Linked DNA regions of Pelodiscus sinensis. The main gene of each other region encodes a partner of the protein of the gene in region 2 in a complex. Links are inferred from orthologs where the notes say so. Each region holds a gene or a part of one and is shown on either strand. Other genes may lie near its edges.

What was found. Proteins that work in one complex are often made in the same cells at the same time.
Region 1: TADA2A (region 2) and TAF12 share a complex: the UniProt entries of both Homo sapiens proteins name them as parts of the PCAF complex. The link is inferred for Pelodiscus sinensis from reciprocal best matches to the Homo sapiens genes TADA2A and TAF12.

What each region holds. Positions count from the first base shown.
Region 1 is NC_134735.1:13,924,509-13,934,705, forward strand, and holds the start of TAF12 (transcription initiation factor TFIID subunit 12), read left to right. Parts: upstream 1-6,142; 5' UTR 6,143-6,257; intron 6,258-7,349; 5' UTR 7,350-7,363; coding exon 7,364-7,432; intron 7,433-10,197. UniProt on the Homo sapiens protein: The TFIID basal transcription factor complex plays a major role in the initiation of RNA polymerase II (Pol II)-dependent transcription.
Region 2 is NC_134731.1:8,815,590-8,826,026, reverse strand, and holds the start of TADA2A (transcriptional adapter 2-alpha), read right to left. Parts: upstream 4,685-10,437; 5' UTR 4,529-4,684; intron 1,400-4,528; 5' UTR 692-1,399; coding exon 667-691; intron 1-666. Other genes in the region: C21H17orf78 (uncharacterized protein C17orf78 homolog), read right to left, coding at 9,389-9,487. UniProt on the Homo sapiens protein: Component of the ATAC complex, a complex with histone acetyltransferase activity on histones H3 and H4. Required for the function of some acidic activation domains, which activate transcription from a distant site. Binds double-stranded DNA.

The DNA of each region.
Region 1 (10,197 bases), on a different chromosome or scaffold from region 2:
CCCGTCCGCTCTTGTGCAAGAAGGTTTACAGTACGGTGTCGGAAGACAGGGCTTCTTGCGCAAGAGCTATGCTCTTTTCTAACAAGTGTAAGCCCTCTTGCGCAAGAGGGCAGTGTGGACGCGCAGCAGGAGCGTCTTGCACAAGAAAGCCCTATGGCTAAAACGGCCCTCAGAGCTTTTTCACGCAAGAGAGCATCCACACTGCCATGGATGCTCTTGCGCAAAAGCACATGGCAGTGTGGACATGTTCTTGCACAAGAATCCTTGTGCAAGATGTTCTTGCGCAAGAACCTGCCAGTGTAGACATAGCCCAAGTGACTTCGTGTGTGAGCAACTCTTTTCAAGTTCAGTACCAAGGCCCCTTTGTGGTGTTTGAAAACCCATCCCAATCCCAAGTCTACCTACCTTGTTTGTTTTCACTGAAACAGTCACCTTCCCTGCAGCATTGTGATCGTGTTAAACCTTTCACCCTCTTGGGCTGTGTCTACACTGGCCGCGAGTATTTGCACAAGAACACTGACTTTGTAATGTACAAAATCAGTGCTTCTTGTGCAAATAGTCCAACGCTCCCGCTCAGGGATAAGCCCACTTGCACAAGTATTCTTGCGCAAGAGGGCCAGTGTAGACAGCCACGTTAATTTCTTGCGCAAGAAAGCCCGATGGCTAAAATGGCCATCGGAGCTTTCTTGCACAAGAGAGCGTCTACACTGGCACAGATGCTTTTGCGCAAAAGCAAATCTTTTGTGCAATGGCACATGCCAGTACAGACGCTCTCTTGCGCAAATACTTTTAACAGAAAAACTTTTCCGTTAAAAGTATTTGTGCAAAATCATGCCAGTCTAGATGCGGCCTTGGCGTCAGAAAGCAGACCACTGGGGATGTGCAGTAAGGCCCTGATTTATCTTCCATTGAAATCAACAAAAGACACCCACTGACTACAGTGCTTCAGTTTTGCAGCTCCCCAGGTTTTGGGGATGCTGTTCCAGAGGCCTCATGGTGCATCAGCTTCACTGGGGGGTCACAGTACCTGAGGAACTGGGGGTCACTGGGGTCACAGTAGCTGGATCTCCCCAGATAGCAATTGACTGATTCCAAATAAAAACCCCACTCATCTAACTGCCCAGCTCCAGTCCTTCTGGAAGACGAATGGGCCATATCCTTGGCTGATGGAAATCAGCATTGCTCAGTGGAGCTTCACACCAGTGGAGTATCTGCTGTGAATGGCCTACGAGGAGAGGCTGAGGGATTTGGGCTTATTTAGTAGCAGAAGAGAAGAGTGAGGGGGGATTTGATAGCAGCCTTCAACTCCCTGAAGGGAGTTTCTAAAGAGGCTGGAGAGTGTTCTCAGTGGTGACAGAACAAGGAGCAATGGTCTCAAGTTACAGTGAGGGAGGTCTAGGTTAGATATTAGGAGAAACCTAGGAGCATGGTGAAGTACCGGAATGGGTTCCCTAGGGAGGGGGTGGAATCTCCATCCCTAGAGGTTTTTAAGTCCCGGCTTGACAAAGCCCTGGCTGGGATGATTTAGTTGGGGTTGGTCCTGCTTTGGGCAGGGAGCTTTGGGCAGAGGGCTGGTCTCTTCCAGTCCTAGGATTCTATGATTAATTAAGCGTTAGGTTTTTTTCTATCTTCTCCTCCCCTGTGACGGGTTGCATCCAGTTCTGTTTTCCAGTGAGTTTTTGCCTTTTACCCTACTATGCTATTTGTCACAGACACAAATGGCTTCCTGTGGGCAAGCCATGAAGTTCTGATGGGATTAATCTATGGGCTTTTCATTGTATGGTACATGGCTGTTCATTCATTAATCTTTTCAATACTCCTGGGAGGAAGCTAGGAATCATTATTCCCATTTTACGTGTGGGGAAAACGAGTCACGAGGAGGCAAAGTGAATTTCCCACAGTCACTCACAGGTAGCAATGGGTTTAGAACTCAGCTGCTCCTCTCTTCTGTCTTCATTCCTCTGGCCTAACATTGCCTCTCAAAGAAATCACAAACCTCCCAATGCCTAGACCTTTACTTGGCCTCTTAACCAGCTGAGCCTCCGTTACTTCCCCCAAGGAAGACAGAAAGGCGAGAGGCAGCAGCCAGCTTACAGCTCCTCCCTCTTGGCTACAAAATGTGCTGGGCTTCAGGATCCATGCGCTTGGTTACAATGACTTTCTTCCTAGCGCTCCTGCTCAAAGCCTGTGGACGTGGGTTACTGTAGGCAGTGTAATCATTTTCCCCTAACATCTGTGCAATAAAAATTATTTGCACCAGCAGGGAAAATACTGTCTATGGCTACGTCTAGACTGGCATGATTTTCCACAAATGCTTTTAACAGAAAAGTTTTCCATTAAAAGCATTTGCGGAAAAGAGCATCTAGATTGGCACGAACACTTTTCAGCAAAAGCACTTTTCGCGATCGGGGCTTTTTTGTGCAAAACAAATCTCAACTGTCTACACTGGCCCTTTTGCACAAAGCTTTTGCGCAAAAGGACTTTTGCCCGAATGGGAGCAACATAGTATTTCCGCAAGAAACACTGATTTCTTACATGATTGTCAGTATTCTTGCGGAAATTCAAGCGGCCAGTGTAGACAGCTGGCAAGTTTGCAGAAAAGCTTGCCAATCTAGACACAGCCTATGAGTATTTTAAAAGGAAAAAAAAAACAGTTTTTGTCCAAAATTAAAGTTTTTGTTTCAGCCACATTTTTTCAGGTTTTTATCAAAAACCTGAACATTTTTTGTATTTTTCAGTTTCGGGGAGTTCTTCCTTTCTTTTTTTCTTAGTGAAAAAGGGGAGAATTAAGGGAAAGACAGAGAGGAAATAACAAAAAACAGAACAATGAACGTTTTTGAAGACTGAAAAACTATTCAGTTTTTTCAGTCCTCTCTCCCTCCCTTCACTCCCCCCAAAAAATAAACAAATTGAAAATTGCAAGGATATAATGCTGTCTCCACTGAAGTCAATGGCAAAAATCCCATTGACAATCATGGCAAAAATTTGTAAACAATGTCAAAGAACCAAGTACCCAGAGAATTTCACAATGTGAATGTTTTGCAAGCAGAGCAAATCTAGTATTTCCTGGGAAATGTTTATGCATTTCTAACACAAACTTCCCTTTTCCAAACAATGCATTGACAGGAGCCTTCAGCATCATTATCCGGAGTGCACAGTTGCTCATAGCAGGATGTTTCTACTGGGTTACTTTTCTGAGTGCAGTCCCTCAGCACACAAGATTAGCGCTTGTCCTGTCATTTGAAAGTTCTGCCGTTTAAACTATGTAGACTTTAACATTTTTAAGATTCATATTTAAAAGATAAAAATCTTCATAGAATCTATCCATCCATCCCTGTACACCCCCTTAGCTATCTGTCCCCATAACAATCTTTATCTATCTAATCCTCATATTTATATACCTTTTATTTATCAAATAATGACACAAACAGTGCATGTGGCTACATAGTGGCTGTGTCTACACTGGCCACTTATTCCGGAAAAGTGGCTGCTTTTCCGGAATAACTTGCCAGCTGTCTACACTGGCCCCTTGCTTTTCCGGAAAAGCACTGATGATCTACTGTAAAATCATCAGTGCTTTTCCGGAAAAACTATGCTGCTCCCGTTCGGGCAAAAGTCCTTTTCCGGAAAACTGTTCTGCGAAAATGACGATCGGGGCTTTTTTGTGGAAAAGCGCATCTACATTGGCACGGACGCTTTTCCGGAAAAAGTGCTTTTCCGGAAAAGCATCCTGCCAATGTAGACGCGCTTTTTCCGGAAATACTTATAACGGAAAACTTCCGTTTTAAGCATTTCCGGAAAAGGATGCCGGTGTAGACGTAGCCACACAGTATGGAAACAGTGAACAAATGCATTAAACATAGTACTGTGCCCAGCAAGAGATCTGCATTTAATCTGCACTGGGAGGCAAGCTGAACCCCTGATCAGCCCTAATCAAGGAAGACAAGAATAATCCAAGCCCCCAGAGGAATTATTTCAGCAGCATCTTTGGATAACCCATTAGACCCCCTCTCTTTGATTCAGATGCTGTGCCAGTCAAAAGATCATTTCCTGGGAGTGTTTTGCAGATGGCAGCAAAATTATGGGAGTGGGACAGCTGTTTTTTACCCTTGATAGGGGAAAATCTGAAAGGGACTAAACTCAGACAGGGAAACCAACTTTAATTTCACTCTGCTAAATGGCCCTCTGTTAAAATAACTGCATGTATCTAATAACAAATCCTCCTCCCCCCTCCCCAAGTAATGCTTCAATAAAATTGAATTGCAGGAATGGATAAATAATGCCTCCGTCAGCATTTAGCAAACAGCAATGCCACGCACAAAAAAAACAGAGCAGGGAAGGAAACATACAGACATTCTGATCTAGGTAGTTAATTATCTAAAGCAAAGAAATGCCATAGGATGAATGTACTTCCTGTCTGGAAAATCACAACAGGTTTTAAAGCAAAGGGGACAACTATATTTTTATTTGAAGTAAAAATAGTTTCTGAACTAGGAACGTAGTCACTACCTTTTACTAAGTATTTCAAATATGTGTCTCCCACGCACGCGCGAAAGTTCGTGGAAAGGGCAAAAATGAAAAGCGGGTATAGCCGAGCGAGAATTTAAAGAGGCTTTTGTGAAATACAGGGTTCCCGACAATACCTTCCCTTACAAACTACTCACATATATTAGCGAGCAGACCCCAAAGAAATAGCAAAAGCAGAAAAGATCGCTCCCGCAGTACGCACAACAGACAAACTAACTCTAATTTTAACAGACAACTTCGGGGCGCCGGAACCAACGATTACCAGCAGCCCCAGGAACAAAAATTGTGCTTCCGAAATCTCTTGATGTCGATTCCGCACGAAGTAAGGAAAGCCGCAGCCACCCCACTCCATGTGTCATACATGACAGAAGCCCTTTTTAACGAGTCGCTGGCGGCTCCGCCTCCCCAGTCTGTGTGTCAGACTTGAAAGTTACAGGGAGATGCTGGTTCGGCTCCCCTGAGGGACCGTGACATTATATCGCACAAGCACCCCGTTTAGGCCCGCCACGTCTCTTGCATGTATGTTACTGTGCGTCACTCATTAATCCTTAAAATACGCGCACCACAGCAGGCATGAGATGCAAATAAGCCGCATGGCATGTTGGGATTTCACCATAGATGACGCAGAGAGGAGCCGGAGGAGGGGCGGGGCCGGAGTGAGGGGGAGGAGGAGTCTTGCTGCAGCTCAAGACAAGGTAAAAAGCTTCCGCCAAACCCCAGGTGAGGGGCATGAAGGAGAAACTGGAGGGCTGGAAAAGGGAACACTTTAAAGGGGGCACCTGGATTTGAACCAGGGACCACTTGATCTGCAGTCAAATGCTCTCCCACTGAGCTATACTCCCCCACCCTGAGAAAGCCTGCTCACCCAGATGTAAGGGTGTGGAGCTGGGGAACAGCCTGCTGCGTGGCTCTATCTGTAGCACTTTTCTTTGGCTGCCCTCAGCCTCTCCCTTGCTCTGGGTCTTTTCCCCATTGCTCTATTCACTGGCTCTATTCACTGGCTCGCTCCTTTTTCCTTCCCTCCACTCCCTCTCTGGCGCCCTTCTTCACAGTCAGTGCCCTAGTTGGGGAGGGGGGGGGGACCACACGGCCCTGCACGGCTCTCCCCGCCCCCCCCCCCACCTTTCTGCCAACCGTCTCCCAGCGCCGACCCCCTCCCCATCCGAACTGAAACCGAATTGAGACCAGGTCTGACCGTACCTCGGGCCCCTCCCTTCACACCTCAGGCGGGGCAGCCGCAGACTAGGACCCCCGGGGCCAGGCGCTCCACATGGATCATGTCCCGGCTCCCTGCGGGGCCCACTGGCTGCTACCGGCCCCGCCCGGCCGTGGGGACCGCGCTGAATCGCGGTGGGGGAGCCTCGCTGTTTGGGGGAGGGGGCTGCCCGAGGTCACATGGGGAGGCTGAAGGGTTGCCATAGGAACACGCCAGCGGCTGTGGGGCATGCGCAGTCTATGACGGGAAACTGGCGCCGGTGCCCTCTCGGGATGTCGGAGGTCACGCACGCGCCTTCTGGGCTGGATTTGCTCGGAGTGCGCATGTGTCGTTTCCTGTCCCGCTGTGCCGGGGAGGCGCTGGTTGGCCGCGGCGGTGAGTGTTTCCGGGCGGCACCGGAAGGACGCTCCCGCAGGCGGCGAGTGGCGCAGAGCCGGCAGCAGCGCTGTAGCAGCGGCGGTTGAGGCGGGGGGGGTCCGCCCGCGGAACATGGGGCGATAGCAGGGGGGCACCGGTGAGTGCGGGCCCGTCCCTCGGCGGGGGACGAGGCTGCTCGCGGGGTTAAGGGCTCCCCCCCGCCCCGCGCCGGGGCAGGAGGCTCAGGGCTGCCCGCGCTCCCGGAGGCAGGGGTAGCGGTTGGGCCGTCACCAGATAGGCCTCTGTAGAAGAGGCAGCGGCGGGGGTGGGCAGGTGGGAGCCGTGGTGCCCCGCGTGTAACTGCGGAAATGTTTTCAGCCGCTACAGTTACTTACACGCATTTTAACATCCCTAGAGTCAGCCAATCCTGCCACCACACTTCATGTACACGAACCTGCAAGGTACCTCTCCTGGGAGATCCACCACTTCCAAAGAGGTCCTCTGACAAAACAAGGGATGTTCAAACGTCTGAGATTTTTCTAAATTAAAAAGCTGTAAAGAAAACTTTCAGTCTGTCTTTTTACGTGATTAAAGAAGCCAAAACAAATACTTTAAAAGATCCTTTGCAGATTACTTTTAAATTCTGTGTAGAGATTTCTTTGCTAAATATCTTTTCTTCCTGGAATTAGAAGCTGCAAGCACTCTGATGAACGATTCCTCAAGTTGTCTTGTTGCTGTAGATAAGTAATGTTGCATTTAGCATATTGGTGTGATAATGCTATTTAGTCAGTTGCAGTACCTATTAGTCAGGGACCAGTGGCATTAGTACATGCCATGGGGCCTAGTCCTGATGTGAAGGAAGGCTACTGTTTCAAAAATCTGTACTCAGCTGCTCTCTACTCCAATACCCACTAGCCCTGTATCTAAAAATGAAGATTTGACATAAGTATAAGCTTCTCCCTTGAGGATCCTGAGAATAACTTGCCATTTGAGAAGACAAGAAATATTAGGTTCACGATTGCTGTTTAAAGTAAAGCTTTGTATTCAATGCCCAGAAAATTGCATTTGATCATTTTAATAAGGACAAAAGATGCTTGTGTTGTGGTGAGTACTGTTTGCTGAAATTTGTTTCATTTTGATTTGCATTTGATAAGGTAGGTGACATGCAAAATAGCTGGTGTCATGAGAATGAGAAGTATGTAGAACAGGAGGAGGGAAGTCAAGGTTAACACTGGCTATTTGCTTACAGGGAGCTTTTGGAAAATGGCCTCTCCATTCGCTGGGCCCACAGCAGTTGCTGATGTAATTAAAGAACTAGATACTCAGATAGCTGTAAGTAAATTGCTTGAGCTTGCCATGAATTGGCATGTAGAACTTGAGGTTAAAACCTGTGCATCCACATTTGCTTTGTTTTCTGATGCCTTGATTATACCCAAAGGTTAAAATTAGAAGTGAGAGTAAACATTACTCTGCATTAATATAGTGCTTTTTGCCCAAGGATTTCAAAGCATTTCACGCATCATCTTCTGATGCCTCCATGGTAGGTAAGATTTCCTACTTTGTGGTTTTGTAAACTGAAGTGCACAGGGTTAAGTGACTGGCCCAAGATCATCAGCAAGCTAGTGGCAAAAGTAAGAATAGTACACTGGAGTCCTCTCTTCTGCTTCTTGAGCTATGCTCCAGAAAACAGGACCTCGCTCCAGAGTTGCCAACTAAGAGCTTACAGGGCTCTGTATGACTGAAGAACATCCCAAGGCATGAATGTAGAGACTTTTCATCATTTTCAGATCTGTTCACATTGGGCTAAAATTGCTATCAGAGCTACGTGAAGTTACTTGCATTTATATTTCTTTTTAAAAAGAAAAATGTATGTAATATGTTTGCAGCAGTGCATGACTTTGAGCATTGGAATGAAACACTAAATATCCACTGTCTTAAGCATTCTTGTGTGATTATTTTTCAAGAGTGACTTTTCTGTGTGAATTATTACAAACTAACAAAAAATCAAATGCTGTTATAGGGGAAAATCACGTTTTCTACAAAAAAGTAGAAAATATTATTTCCCTTGGTTTTTATGTAAATGTTCTGTGTGTTTTTTTTTTTCCTGGTACCTGTAGCTAGTTTTCAGCTTGCATCATTTGTGTCACTGTGAACAAAGAAATTTCCAAAGAGTGCTGTTTTGTAGAAAAGTTTAAGGAAAACTGCAGTAAAGAGTATTTGAGACCCCAAAATCTAATTATGGAAAATAAATTGCTTAAAACAAAAGTCAGAAATACAAAAATTGTCATAACATCCATTTTATGTTCCAAAACAGAAAATGCAGTTGTCTCAATTATGTAGGCAATAAGATTTTTCAGAGTTAATACAGACTGTTATTAAAGTTTCCACTTAAATCATTTCACAGCTTAATGTATGTGATTTAAAATAGTGAGATGCATTTTCTATGTAACAACCTACTTTTTGGTTTGAAGTAGTAGCAAAATTTCAGCTACCATTGACAACTCCATTCATTGAACTGAGATAGAATGATGAAAGACTTGTAAAAGCATGTGAAACCTCTTAATTCAAGCAATTTAATAAATATTTGTATATTCTAATCACTGCAGTTTTCCTTGACCATTTTGGGTGATAATTGAAGAACACAGGTTTGAAGAGAGCAGTGCTAAAGGTTGAACCTCTGTAGGCTGGCACTCTGGTACAACAACATCCATGGTCTAACATGATTTTAGTTAGCCGAATGTCCACTTATGGGTGTGGACAAGTTTCCCACAATTCATACTTTTTTTTTTTTTTTACAGCCACCAGTCCTGGCTGTCAGTGTTCTATGCTGTTGTTTAGCTCTAATTTACCCCCAAATATCTTCTAAGAGCCCAGTAACCAGTGGAAGTGTTGGTAATGCTGCTAGACAATATTGATCTCCCATGGTTTGGCAAATTCTCTGGTTTGGCACTGGTCAGGTCCAGAGGGTGCTGGACTAGAGAGGTTCAACATGTATTATGGAGTTGTGGGCCACAGATTTGACTACAAGAAAGTCCAAAGTGGTGGGTTAAGGGTAAGTAGTATGCTAGTAGTCTGAGCCTAATTACTAATCTAGGTTGCCAGTTCTAATTCAGTCCAAAAGTAATCAAAGTGTCTAGTGGCCTATGACATGAGTTAGTCCAAGAACCTTATTGCTAATCTGGAAAGAGCAGGCTGTTAGGTATATGAAATTAGTAAATCCAGGCCTTTGCTTGACAGTCTACCAAATTCCATATTGTGCAGCTGAAAACCTGAATTGAAATGAGGAATCAGATATATAAATCAAAGGAATTTGAGGCAGAGGTGGATTTTCTACTGTCCTGTCACTTTTGGAGGCCTGACTTAATGCTGACAAGGTCTATAGGTGAAATTGAATTTCAGGGCTTAGGCCAATCTTCAATATATTCTCATTACAAACTGTCATACTACTGGAAATATCTTGGTTTGGGAATAATTACTGGTGAGACTTGAAATGCCTTGTTGGTGTTGTGTGGCAAATGCTAGAACAGTGCCTTCCTGTTCTGTACCTGGCTGTAGACAGTGCAGCTACATGAGGAATTGTACTCCGCTTTTCCCTCTTCCCAAGATGTCTGAAATGTAAAAATGCAGTCTTTGTATTATTAGGACCTACATACTCCAGTTCTAGACCAGGTCCCTTTGTGCTAGGCACTGTACAAACACAGAACAAAAAGACCGTTCCTAAGCTAGACCTCAGGAGGTGATGTCATTGATCTGCCAGTTAGAAGTAAGTGTGGAGGCCTAACGCTGCCACCAAAGAGGCACAAGTAAGAGAAGAGGGAAAAAACCTTTTTCTTGTCTGTAGGATTCAGTCACTGATGGAATTTTGGTGTCGGACTGGAAAAAGGAATGCAATGTTCTTAGGATGTTATCCGGCTGGCTCAGACTTTATATTCCTCATCAGTTCTCTATTCAGTGAACTCTGTGCAACCGTAATGCCTTCCATTAAAGTTTTGTTTTTAATATGTTTTTTAAATCTTTTCTTTTTTTCACCCTTGTCCTTCCTCCCCTCTATGGTGAGAAATATCAGATTAAGTTGCAAACCTCTCTTGATGCTGCCT
Region 2 (10,437 bases):
GACACTCCAGAGGCTGATGACCAATCTAAGGTTGTCAAGAAAGGCGTTAAAGCTGTGTAGTGGTGTGTGGGTGTGTTGGTTTTTTTTTTTTGGGGGGTGACAGATTTATTCAGTTGGGTATGTATATTTTATTTAAAACTTTATATTAAATAAGCAATTGGGACATTAATTTGTTTGTTCAACTAGACTATTTTCATTACCAATCGTCTGAGTCACTTAGTGCTCCCATCAAATTCTTATGACAATTCAGGGGCCAAAACAATCACATGGATCAAAATGCCCTAGTTCCCAGCAACCCTCATTGGAAGATAAAGCCTTCAAACTAGGCCCAGATCCACACTGGCAGAGAAAAACTGATGCAAGGTACACAACTCCAGCTACGTGAATTGTGTAACTGGAGTTGACGTCCCTTACATTGATTTTTCTGGGGAGACCACACAGTGGGAGGTCAACAGGAGAAAAACTCCAATTGACTTACCTTACTCCTCGTGAGGAGTAGGAGTACCTGAAGGTGCCCTCAGCATTCAATTTAGTGTGTCTTTACTAGACCTGCTAAATTGAACTCCAGAAGATCGATTGACAGAGCATAGATCTTTCAGAAAGTGGAGACATACCTAGGACAGAGGTTTTTAGACCTCTCTGTGAAGTTCTGGTTATGGTACTTACTGCTGAAGGAGGCCAGGCGCTCCATCCTCCTCACACTCTGGTGTTCTTCTTCAGGACAGCAATATAAGCACCTCTCCTTGTACAAGGCTCCTCAGTATAAGATCAACAATTACCAATGTATCTATCAAGGTACCATCCAACTGAAAGAGAGTAGGCTGTTGTGCAACCCTTTGAACAGATAAGCTCTTCTGAGACTACACCAACTACTCATGCAAATGAGCGGTCATAATGCAACAGGGACCATTTGACATGACTGAAAGTCTGTTCTCTGCAGTTGAGACACGAAACCAAAAACCGAAAGACACAATTCATAGTATTAAGAAATCTGGAACTCCAGGATCATAACTTATCTGAATAAAAGATTGATGTGACCCCCAAAAAAGTGGTGATTGTCAAGTAACTGTATCATCATGAATCTTGAAAACTTTGTTACAAGATGTTCTTCATTAGCTCTGCAGAACCATGAGCTGTGCCTTTATGATTTTATATATTTGTCAGAGGCAGATTTGGACTCTTCCTTACTGCTTAATTTGATTAATAAAAGGGTCACTGCAGCCCTGAGAATTGAGAACAGAAATGTCCTTCATGGAGTAGGGAAAGTTTCCTTTAGGAACATGCTCATCACAGCTAAGATAGTGGACTTTATAGAACCGATAACTGCTTTTGAGAGTTGTGAGTTGGCTGGCTGTATATTCTCCCCTTCTCATGCAACAGTCCCAGGGCAACTATATTCCTGTCAAAAAAGAAAATAAGTAATTTAATTCAAGGATCCAAGTGCTTTACAAACATTAAATGGTGCACCCACAAGGAATTATTTTAGAGAGGTAAGTAGCAGCTCCAATTTATTGATAAGGAAACTAAGAACAAGGAGGAGAAGTAACTTGCTCAAGATCACAGAGCAAACCAGTTATAAACCTCAGAGCAGAGCCCAGAGTCCTGATGCAGATCTGAAATGTGATCCAAAGACTACAGCAAAGTTTCCAGCAGGAAGCAGGACAGCAGTAAAACTCAGACCTCCCCAAAGTAAGATAGAATTTTGTTAGAAACTTGTTACTTGAATCTATTTTAATCAAAATTGATTCCCACCCAAGATCCTTTAATACAGTGGTCCCCAACACGGTGCCCGTGGGCGCCATGATGCCCACCGGGGCATTTGTGTGCGCCCGCCGACAACCTGGGCCAGCCCCGCCCGCGGCGCACGGGTGGCGCCGGCCCCAGGCGCTCGACATGCACCGGCACCGGGTTCGCGGCACTCGGGCGGCCCCAGCCCCGGGGCATATGCAGGCGCTTGGGCACGCGGCGCTCGAGCGGCGCCGGTGCCAGCCCCAGGCGCGCGGCTCGGGCGGCCCCAGCCCCGGCCCTAGAGCACATGCCGGTGCCGGGTGCAAGGGCATCCCAGTCGCCTGGCGTGCTCCCGGACGCGCGGTCCTGCCCCCGGGCGCCCGGCGCGTGAGTTGCCCCGCCCCCGGGGCTGGGAGCCTCTAAAGGTTGGGGACCACTGCTTTAATAATATAAATTTCACTCTTGTGAAACATTTAAAATGTAGCAGTAGTAACAAACAAACAAAAAACTAAATGGAGGACTGCAATAGATATGTATGCTAGAATAAACAGCTACTAAAATTAGGTATGGGATAAAGACCCTTTCAACTATATGCAAGCATAGGAAAGACAAAGAGTGTACTCTAGTCCAGTGTTTCTTAATCTTTTTGATACCTGGCCTCTGCCTTCCTAAACTGTGTCAGGGAGATCTCAGGGAGCCAGCACCACAGATCACTCCCTGAGAAACACTACTTTCGTCTAGAACAGTAGTAGGCTGCATGCTCCCCTTCAGGGTTCTTGTGTGGCCCACGAGACATTTAGTTTATTATTGCCCTTGCACAGGGTTGCCAGATTCTGCTGGGTTCAATCCGCATATTACTAAAGTGGCATGCTTGTAAAGCAAGGGTGGAGAACCTTTTTGGGGCGGGGGCTGCTGACCCACATAAAAATCAGTCAGGTGGGAGGCAGTGGGGGTCTGGAATGCCAGTGCAGTCTTCCCAATGGGGGAGGGGAGGAGCCCCGAGCCCCTGGGGGCCAGATCTAGGCAAGCTGGGGGACTGCATTTGGCCCCTGGGCCTTAGGTTCACCATCCCTGTTGTAAAGCAAGGACACATGGAATGATGTGAGCGCTGATTGCACTAGGGATGTTAAAGACTAGTCGACCTTCCGATAAGCAAATGCTTATCAGATAGTCAGTCAACTAGTCAATTCCTCCTGCTTTGCTGCCTCTATCAGAGTCAGTAAAGGGGGGGGGAGAAGGGGTACTTCAAAGAAGAGGTACTCCAAGGAGGCATTTCAAAGGGGGCTGCCCCTTTAAAACACCACCTCTGGCATTTCAAAGGGGCAGCTGCCAAGGAGCCCGGGGTCAGCTGGGGACTCCCCAGCTGATCTGGGTTCCACTGTAATTCTGCATGGAACCTGAGGTCAGCTGGAGAGTCCCACGCTGACCCTGGGCTCCATGGCTTTGAAATGCACAAGAGTCCCTGCTGCGGACTCTTGTACATTTCAAAGCAGACACGCCAGTGTGGAGCCCAGAGTCAGTGGGACTTCCCACTGGCCCCGGCTGCAGGCGGAGTTCTGCATTCCTCCTTTGAAATGCACAAAAACCCCAACAGGGCTCTTGTGCATTTCAAAGGAGGAATGCAGAAGTGCCTATCGAGTAGTCGATGGAAATTCCATCAACCACTCGACTAGTCAATTAACCGCAATTTAACATCTCTAGAGTGCACACTACATTGACTGTGACAGTCGTGCATGTCCTCTGCCTCCGATCGAAATGCTGCTACAGTTCAATCGGCGCCCCTGCAAATGCTAGATAGGGAAGCACAGTTAGCAAAACTACCCTACCCCACGAAATCGTCTTGGTTACAACAATCTTGTGGCTCACTGAGATGACTAAGCCTGCAAGACTTCTTTCATGCTGCCTCTTATGCTGGGAGAGTTCTTCCTGATCGTGTGCATCATATCACCTTTATTTCCTTCTTCTGACCCTCCCCACGCACCCCCTCTCTTCCAGACCCCCCCTCCAGACTCTGCATCTTCATCCTCCTCCTGCATCTTCCACCCTTGCAGACCCTACTCCCTCAACCCCAGTCCACACCTGCACCCTACCTCCTGCCCACAACCCGAACTCCTACCCCCAGCCCGCTCCTGGCAGCCCCCTCCTGCACACTGAACCCCTCCTTTTTGGCCCTGCCAAACAAACCCTAGTAGCCCCAGGCTCTGGAGGAGTTAATTTGGCCCTAGGGCCTCCCCATGGGGCTGAAGCTTGAGGGGAGTTTTTTCCCCCTGATTCTGAGGGGGGGGGCTACATCTGGGAGGGTTTTTTTTCTCCTCAGGGGGCCAGGACACTAAGAGGGTTTTTTTGTGCTTCTCTTTTGTGTGTGGCCCCCAACTGATGTTTTGATGGGTCTGTGCCCCCCCCCCCCCCCAAAAAAAAAGTTCCCCACCCCGGGCTTACTGGGACCACTGTTCCCAACCCCTCCTCCAGGAACCAGTAGGGACCCTACTGCCCTCCCCCTTCCCTGTGGGACCCGCCCCTCCCCCGCCCAAGCCCCGCCCACCCCAGCAAGCCCCGCCCCTGAAGTCCACGCGGCGGCGGTTTACCCCAGTGCCCCCTAACGGAACAGCAGGGGAGGCGCCGCGCTCCCGCCAGAGCGCGCATCTGAGGTGGCTGGGAGCGCGCAGCCACCGCCTGCCTAAGCTCGCACCCCCCTCTCCGCTTCACTTGGTATCTTCCTACTTCTCACCCCCTCCCACCCCGCCCCGCCGCCGCATGGTCTCTCCCGGGCTCGCGGCCCGCTTTGCCCCCAGCCCGTCACCTCACGCCGGCTTCGCTCAGGCCCCGAGCCCGACTCCGCTCCAGTCCCAGCGGCCGTCCCCACGTGCTCAGGCTCGGCGCGGCTGGGCACGCGTACGTGCGCGCTCACGAGGCGGGCGGGGGGGGGGGTGTGTGAGGCTCGTGCCCTCACGCCGCGCGTTTGGGTCACGTCGCCGGTGGCGTGTGGCACTGCAGCCGGGGGCGGGTCGACCTCGGCACGGAGGCTGTGAGGGGAGGGCTGGCGTGAGAGGGGGCGGGGTTGGGCTCGCAACGGTGAAAAGGGGCAGCGGGGTCGCACCGCGGGAGGCTGGAGTTGGGGGGGGTCGCACCGTGGGGGAGGAGGAGCGATGGGGTTGGGGGGTCGTACTGCGAGAGGAGGGGGGGAGGAGCGGTGGGGTTGGGGGTCGCACTCTGTGAGGCGAGAACTGGGGGGGGAGGAACGGTGGGGTTGGGGGGTCGTACTGCGAGAGGAGGGGGGGAGGAGCAGTGGGGTTGGGGGTTGTACTGTGGGGGGGGAGGAGCGGTGGGGTTGGGGGTTGCACTGTGGGGGGGGAGGAGCGGTGGGGTTGGGGGTTGCACTGTGGGGGGGGAGGAGCGGTGGGGTTGGGGGTCGCATCGTGGGGGGGGGAGGAGCGGTGGGGTTGGGGGTCGCATCGTGGGGGGGGGGAGGAGCGGTGGGGTTGGGGGTCGCACCGTGGGGGGGGGGGAGGAGTGGTGGGGTTGGAGTCGCCCCGTTGGCAGCACGGGGCTTGTGGAGTTTGACATCATTGATTGTGGTGAAGATTTGTTTGTTTTGCTTTTTTGTTTTGTTTTGTTTGTAAAACCAAGGCACCCTTTAGGCTGTGTTTAGAAGTATGCCTGAAAACCATCTGCAGGCACCAAGGTTCGTCTCTGGACTTTGGCAACGTGTAGTTCCTGCAAAGCTGCAGAATAATAATTATGGGTAAATAGTTTCCTCCTTGCTAGCACTGTTAAATAATGAAACTGGGGTCTGGCCAGTCTCCCTCCCCCTCTGTGCTGCAGCCTTGGCAATACATAAAGAGTTCAGATTTACTTGGGTCTCTTCATTGGCAGGAGAGCTTCAATTTATATTAATTTGAAGGCTATTGTTTATATTTATTTTTGCAACATGGGGGTCCCTGCACACATCTGCAGCCAGGTGTGACTCTCAGGCAGCAGGTAGAACAGAAGGTTCATTAGTTCTCAGGGATACAAGGTAAAACATATTTGTTAGTACAGGAACCAAAAGCAGACAGTACAATCCACCTTGAGGAAAAGGGGGGCCTGGAGCCAGGGCCCTCCCTCTGTATCTTAAGCCAGCGGAGACTAACTCACTCCGCAGCCCGACCCAGCTTTATAGGCAGCCCCACTTCTTCCTTTGTTCAGCTTCCTGAGCTTAAGGTGTCACCTGTTTGCATCTCCCTTCCAGGCTCACCTTACAGTGAACCTGGGCCATTGTGACCGTGCTAGCCTGGTCAGCCTCCCCTCAGTGAGAGTCACACCCAAAATTCCCATCTCCAATTTGGCACTGGTGCTATGCCCAGGGAAACAGATCCACACACAAAGTTACTACAGTGCAGGACAACAGAAATCACATGCAACATAAAGCGGACAGAGCGAATGGAACCCCCACTTTGTCACATCCATGTTACAAGTGAAACATTTAAATGCTTGCCCTTTATTTAATTTTTATTCTGCATTCACTCAACTAAATTACTCTTAATTCTGTCTGGCAGATAAATTAGTTTGGCCTGGTTCTCAGCTCTAATTTTACTTCCTAGTACATCTATCTGAGGAATAATCTGTAAAAACAGCAGACACGTGACACATGGCCATTATTTAGCCATGTTATAAAATAGGGATGAGATCCTATCTGTACTACATGTTGGCACAATTTTGAATCTGGGTTAGAATCTGTGTACTGCTTTGTTGCAACCACTTTACTTAACTGTCTATATTTGTAGCATAAATGACCATACATGAGTCTCCTGTTTCCATTGTAATGAATGGAACTTGATGATAACCACTTACAGCAGGGGTTTGCATCCATGTAATTACATTGATGTAGTTCTCATGTAGACAGGGCTCTTAATTAAGTAAGCTGATACTTATATTGTCACCTTTTGACTTCCTAGTAATATGAGTTTACATATCTGAGAGCAAGTATATCACAGACTTTAGAAGATAGAGCTGGATTAAATAACATTTGGGAGGTTTTTCCCTAAATCATAAAGGCTTACGTATTACAGGCAGCATTAATCTCTGCAGAATGTTATGTTGCTGTAAGGGTCAGAGGAATGCACAAAGCAGTATGTGTGCTAGAAAGAATGATATGGATGCTCAGATATCAAAAGGGGGAGAGGATAGCCCATAAACTTTGGTAAGAAGAAAATGTTTGTTTTAATGAAATCTTCCAAACCAAAAAACAATGATCCTTTCCAAAACCTGTGTATCTTTGTGTCAGTGGAATAACAAGTAATTAATGTTTTCCATGGACTGGCGTCTGTTTTCCATTGGTAATAGTCATTCTATTATCCGTTTAGCTGAAAATAACACACAGTTCCTGCAAATATGCTAAACACCAGTACATCACCCCTTCATGATAGACTCTGCCAGGACTTTTCATAAGTGATCTAGTAAGGTGACATGGATGACAGTTATGAGTCTTGGTACAGAAGAAGGTGCATGATGGAGAGTGAGAATAGGCTAGGAAGAAGAGTGAGGAATGAGACAGGATATAAGGATGACATGAAGGTGGATATGTAGGTGGCAGGCAGTGATCCAAAGGTTTGAGATGAAGATGAGAAATAGAGATTGTGAGTAGTTCTAGTCCTGCTCTCTGCTCAGCACAATTTATTGCATTTGCTGTTTGAAACTGATTCCTTTTGGAATTTGGAAATTCCACATCATGTATAATAAAACTCCTGTCAGTTCCAGAACTTTCCCAAATGTTTTTCAATGCATTTATAGTTCATTTTCCTAGTTATATAATACAGTTTGTATAATACAAATACATTTATGACTAACCTCTGTTCTCTGGAACAAAATCTTTCATGGTGTGACACTGCTAAATTCAGTGGAAATATACAATGGAGGAGTTTAATCTCCACTTTCTGTAGTAGTCCATAAATAAGCTTCCTAAATTGATGAATTCCCAGGTTCCTCCCTGCACCGTTCCCATCCATCTGCAGTCTAGAGCCTTTGTGATCTTTCCCTGACTGCTTCCTAATGCTGTGTTTGTTACATTCTGGTCATCTTGTACTCACTTGACAACTATGTTATCTGTGTTGTGGAGGGGGCTATTGGGGGCACTGAGAGGGATTTGAATGGAGTCAGTGAATCTTGTTTTGCAGAAAGACCTGGGATTTAGAAATGACACAGCTGAGACTCCCTGTAGAATATGGTTACACATGTGCCAGAAATTTCATAATTTATCCCCTGTAGCACAGTAATATTCTAGTGGCGTAACACCAGGATCACTTTGGGCGTGTTTACTGCAGCATCGCTCTTCTGGGTCAGTCAAATACATTTTTATTTATTATGACTGCATCTGATGTCCGAAGGTCTCGCGGAGATTAAGGCAAATTTGTACAGATTTTTATATACACATATGTATGCACTGATTATTCTAAATAATATTTCATGCTTTCAAATATATTGTTATGTTCTGGTCATGCAGTAAGCTCTGCAGAGGTGTCCACCTATTTTCTGTAAGATTGGTATTGTAGCTAGTAGCAATTGCCTCTTCCAAACAACCAAAACTTCCTAAAAAAAAGTTATTGTCGCTATTCAAATGTGACATGTTTTTATGCCTATTGTGATGTTAATTTTGTCTGAAATTTTGTATGTCCCCATGGAGGATGGGTGATGCTGATTTAGAAAGACAGAATCTAGATTGCTTAGAGGAAGTGTTCTTTTCGCAATTAGGCTAGAAGGCCACTTTTATTCATTTTTTGCAGATCTTTGGCATTTAATTATTTACACAAGATTTTGAAATGAAGTGTGTTCTCTTTTGCAGGCTTCAAATGTTGCCTTCAGCCATTCATCTGTGAACATACAACAGGGGTGGTCAATAATTTTTGACGGGGGACCATTCCAAGATTTTTGGAATGTGATTGAAGGCCATACTTTTCCAGAATATTAATGGAGGAGGTGAGGGGTCTGGGATGGAGGTTGAGTACAGAAGGGAGCTTTGGATACGGGATTGGGGTGCAGCAGGGAGAATGGGGTCTCAGAGGGAGTTTGGGTGAAGAAGACGGGACTGGGATGCAGGATTTTGGGATGTGACCTAGGCTAGGAGGGGATTGTGATCTGAGACAGGAGACTGGGGTGCCAGATCTGGGAGGGGGTATAGGTACAGTAGGGGCAAAGGGTTTGAGTAGGGGGGGGCAGAGGGTTGGAGAAGGGAGGGGCTAGGGTGCCAGAGGCAGGCTCTGCTAGGAGGCATTTACCAGCAGAAACCTAAGGCAGACTGACAGCTGCAGGCTGCTTGCAGCTCCACATGGCTCTGCTGTGGGCATGAGAGGGAAGGGAAAGGGGAAGAAGGATGGATGAGGAGGAAGGGAGAAGGCTTCCTACACTGCCTCTGCTCCCACAAAAATTCTCAGCTCATATTGGCCCAAAACTGAGAGATTGGCCAATGAGAGGTAAGAGATTTTGCTGGGGGGCGGGAACAGCATTAGAAGTCTCCCTCCTCCCTCCCCTGCCATACCAAGTGGATAACAGCTTCTTTTTTTTTAAATGTGAACTGATCTTTGCCTAAGGGTTGAAGGAGATCTGTATTGTTAAATGAAATAATTGTTACTGAACTACATTTAAAAAACTCTGTGGTTCCCTTTTTGTGACCCACCATGACACGTCCTTAAGATGATACAGAATTTGGGATGTCTGTGCTTTCTCTTTCTTGCCGTTTACATTTCTGAATACAGTTGCATCGCCGGCTCCAACGAAGGCATGGACGCTCAGAAAAGAAACAGAAGCCATTAGAAGGTTGGTAGGAAAGACGTTGACAGACCAAAACACCAAGAATTTGAAGCTAGCATAATGATGATTTGTTTCTAGAAAGACTAATCTGAATTTTGACAAGAATGCACTTCAGAGTGTAAAAGCATGAAACAATGTGGCTTTTGCCCCAGACATCTGCAGCATGGCATATGCCCTCTTGCGGGGGATCTTTGAATAATTAAATCTAGGGCCTACAAAACAACAGAGAGTCCACGTTAACCTGCCTTTTCTTGCAAGTCTTTTCTGTTTTCTCCTCTTCTACCTTTAGAAAATACTTAACTATTCCTCTCCTGGAGTCAAAAGTGTTCCTTTTGAGTGATGTCACTGCAAAACTGTGACAGAAGATTATAAAATTGTTTCCTTCCTATTTTGATTTAAATGCAACACCCCCACAGTGCTGTTTGTGTCTGTGCAGGTTTGGAGAGCAATGAGTCAGTCCAACAGATAAGCCTAAATTTCCCACAATCCAAAAGAGAGCCTGAATAACCTGTGTGTCTGATTGCATCTCATATGAAATCTCAAGGTTGCAACTGTGCTCAGGGATTGTATACAGGCAGTCCCTGGGTTACGTACAAGATAGGGACTGTAGGTTTGTTCTTAAGTTGAATTTGTATGTAAGTCGGAACGGGTACATATTGTAGGGGAAACTCTAGCCAAACATTTCTCCAGAGCTCAGTTTTATTCTCCCACACCACATTTCCCTCAATCCTTTATTCTCAAGCTGAGGTGTCTGCTGAGAAAAGCCGCTCCGTGTCTCCCTAGTCTGCTGGGGGGGAGCGCTAGCTTCGCGTCTCCCTGGTCTGCTGAGGGGAAGCAGCTAGTGCGGGGTTGCCTCACCCCGTTTGTAAGTAGGGATCCGATGTAAGTCGGATCCATGTAACCCGGGGACTGCCTGTACTCTATTAG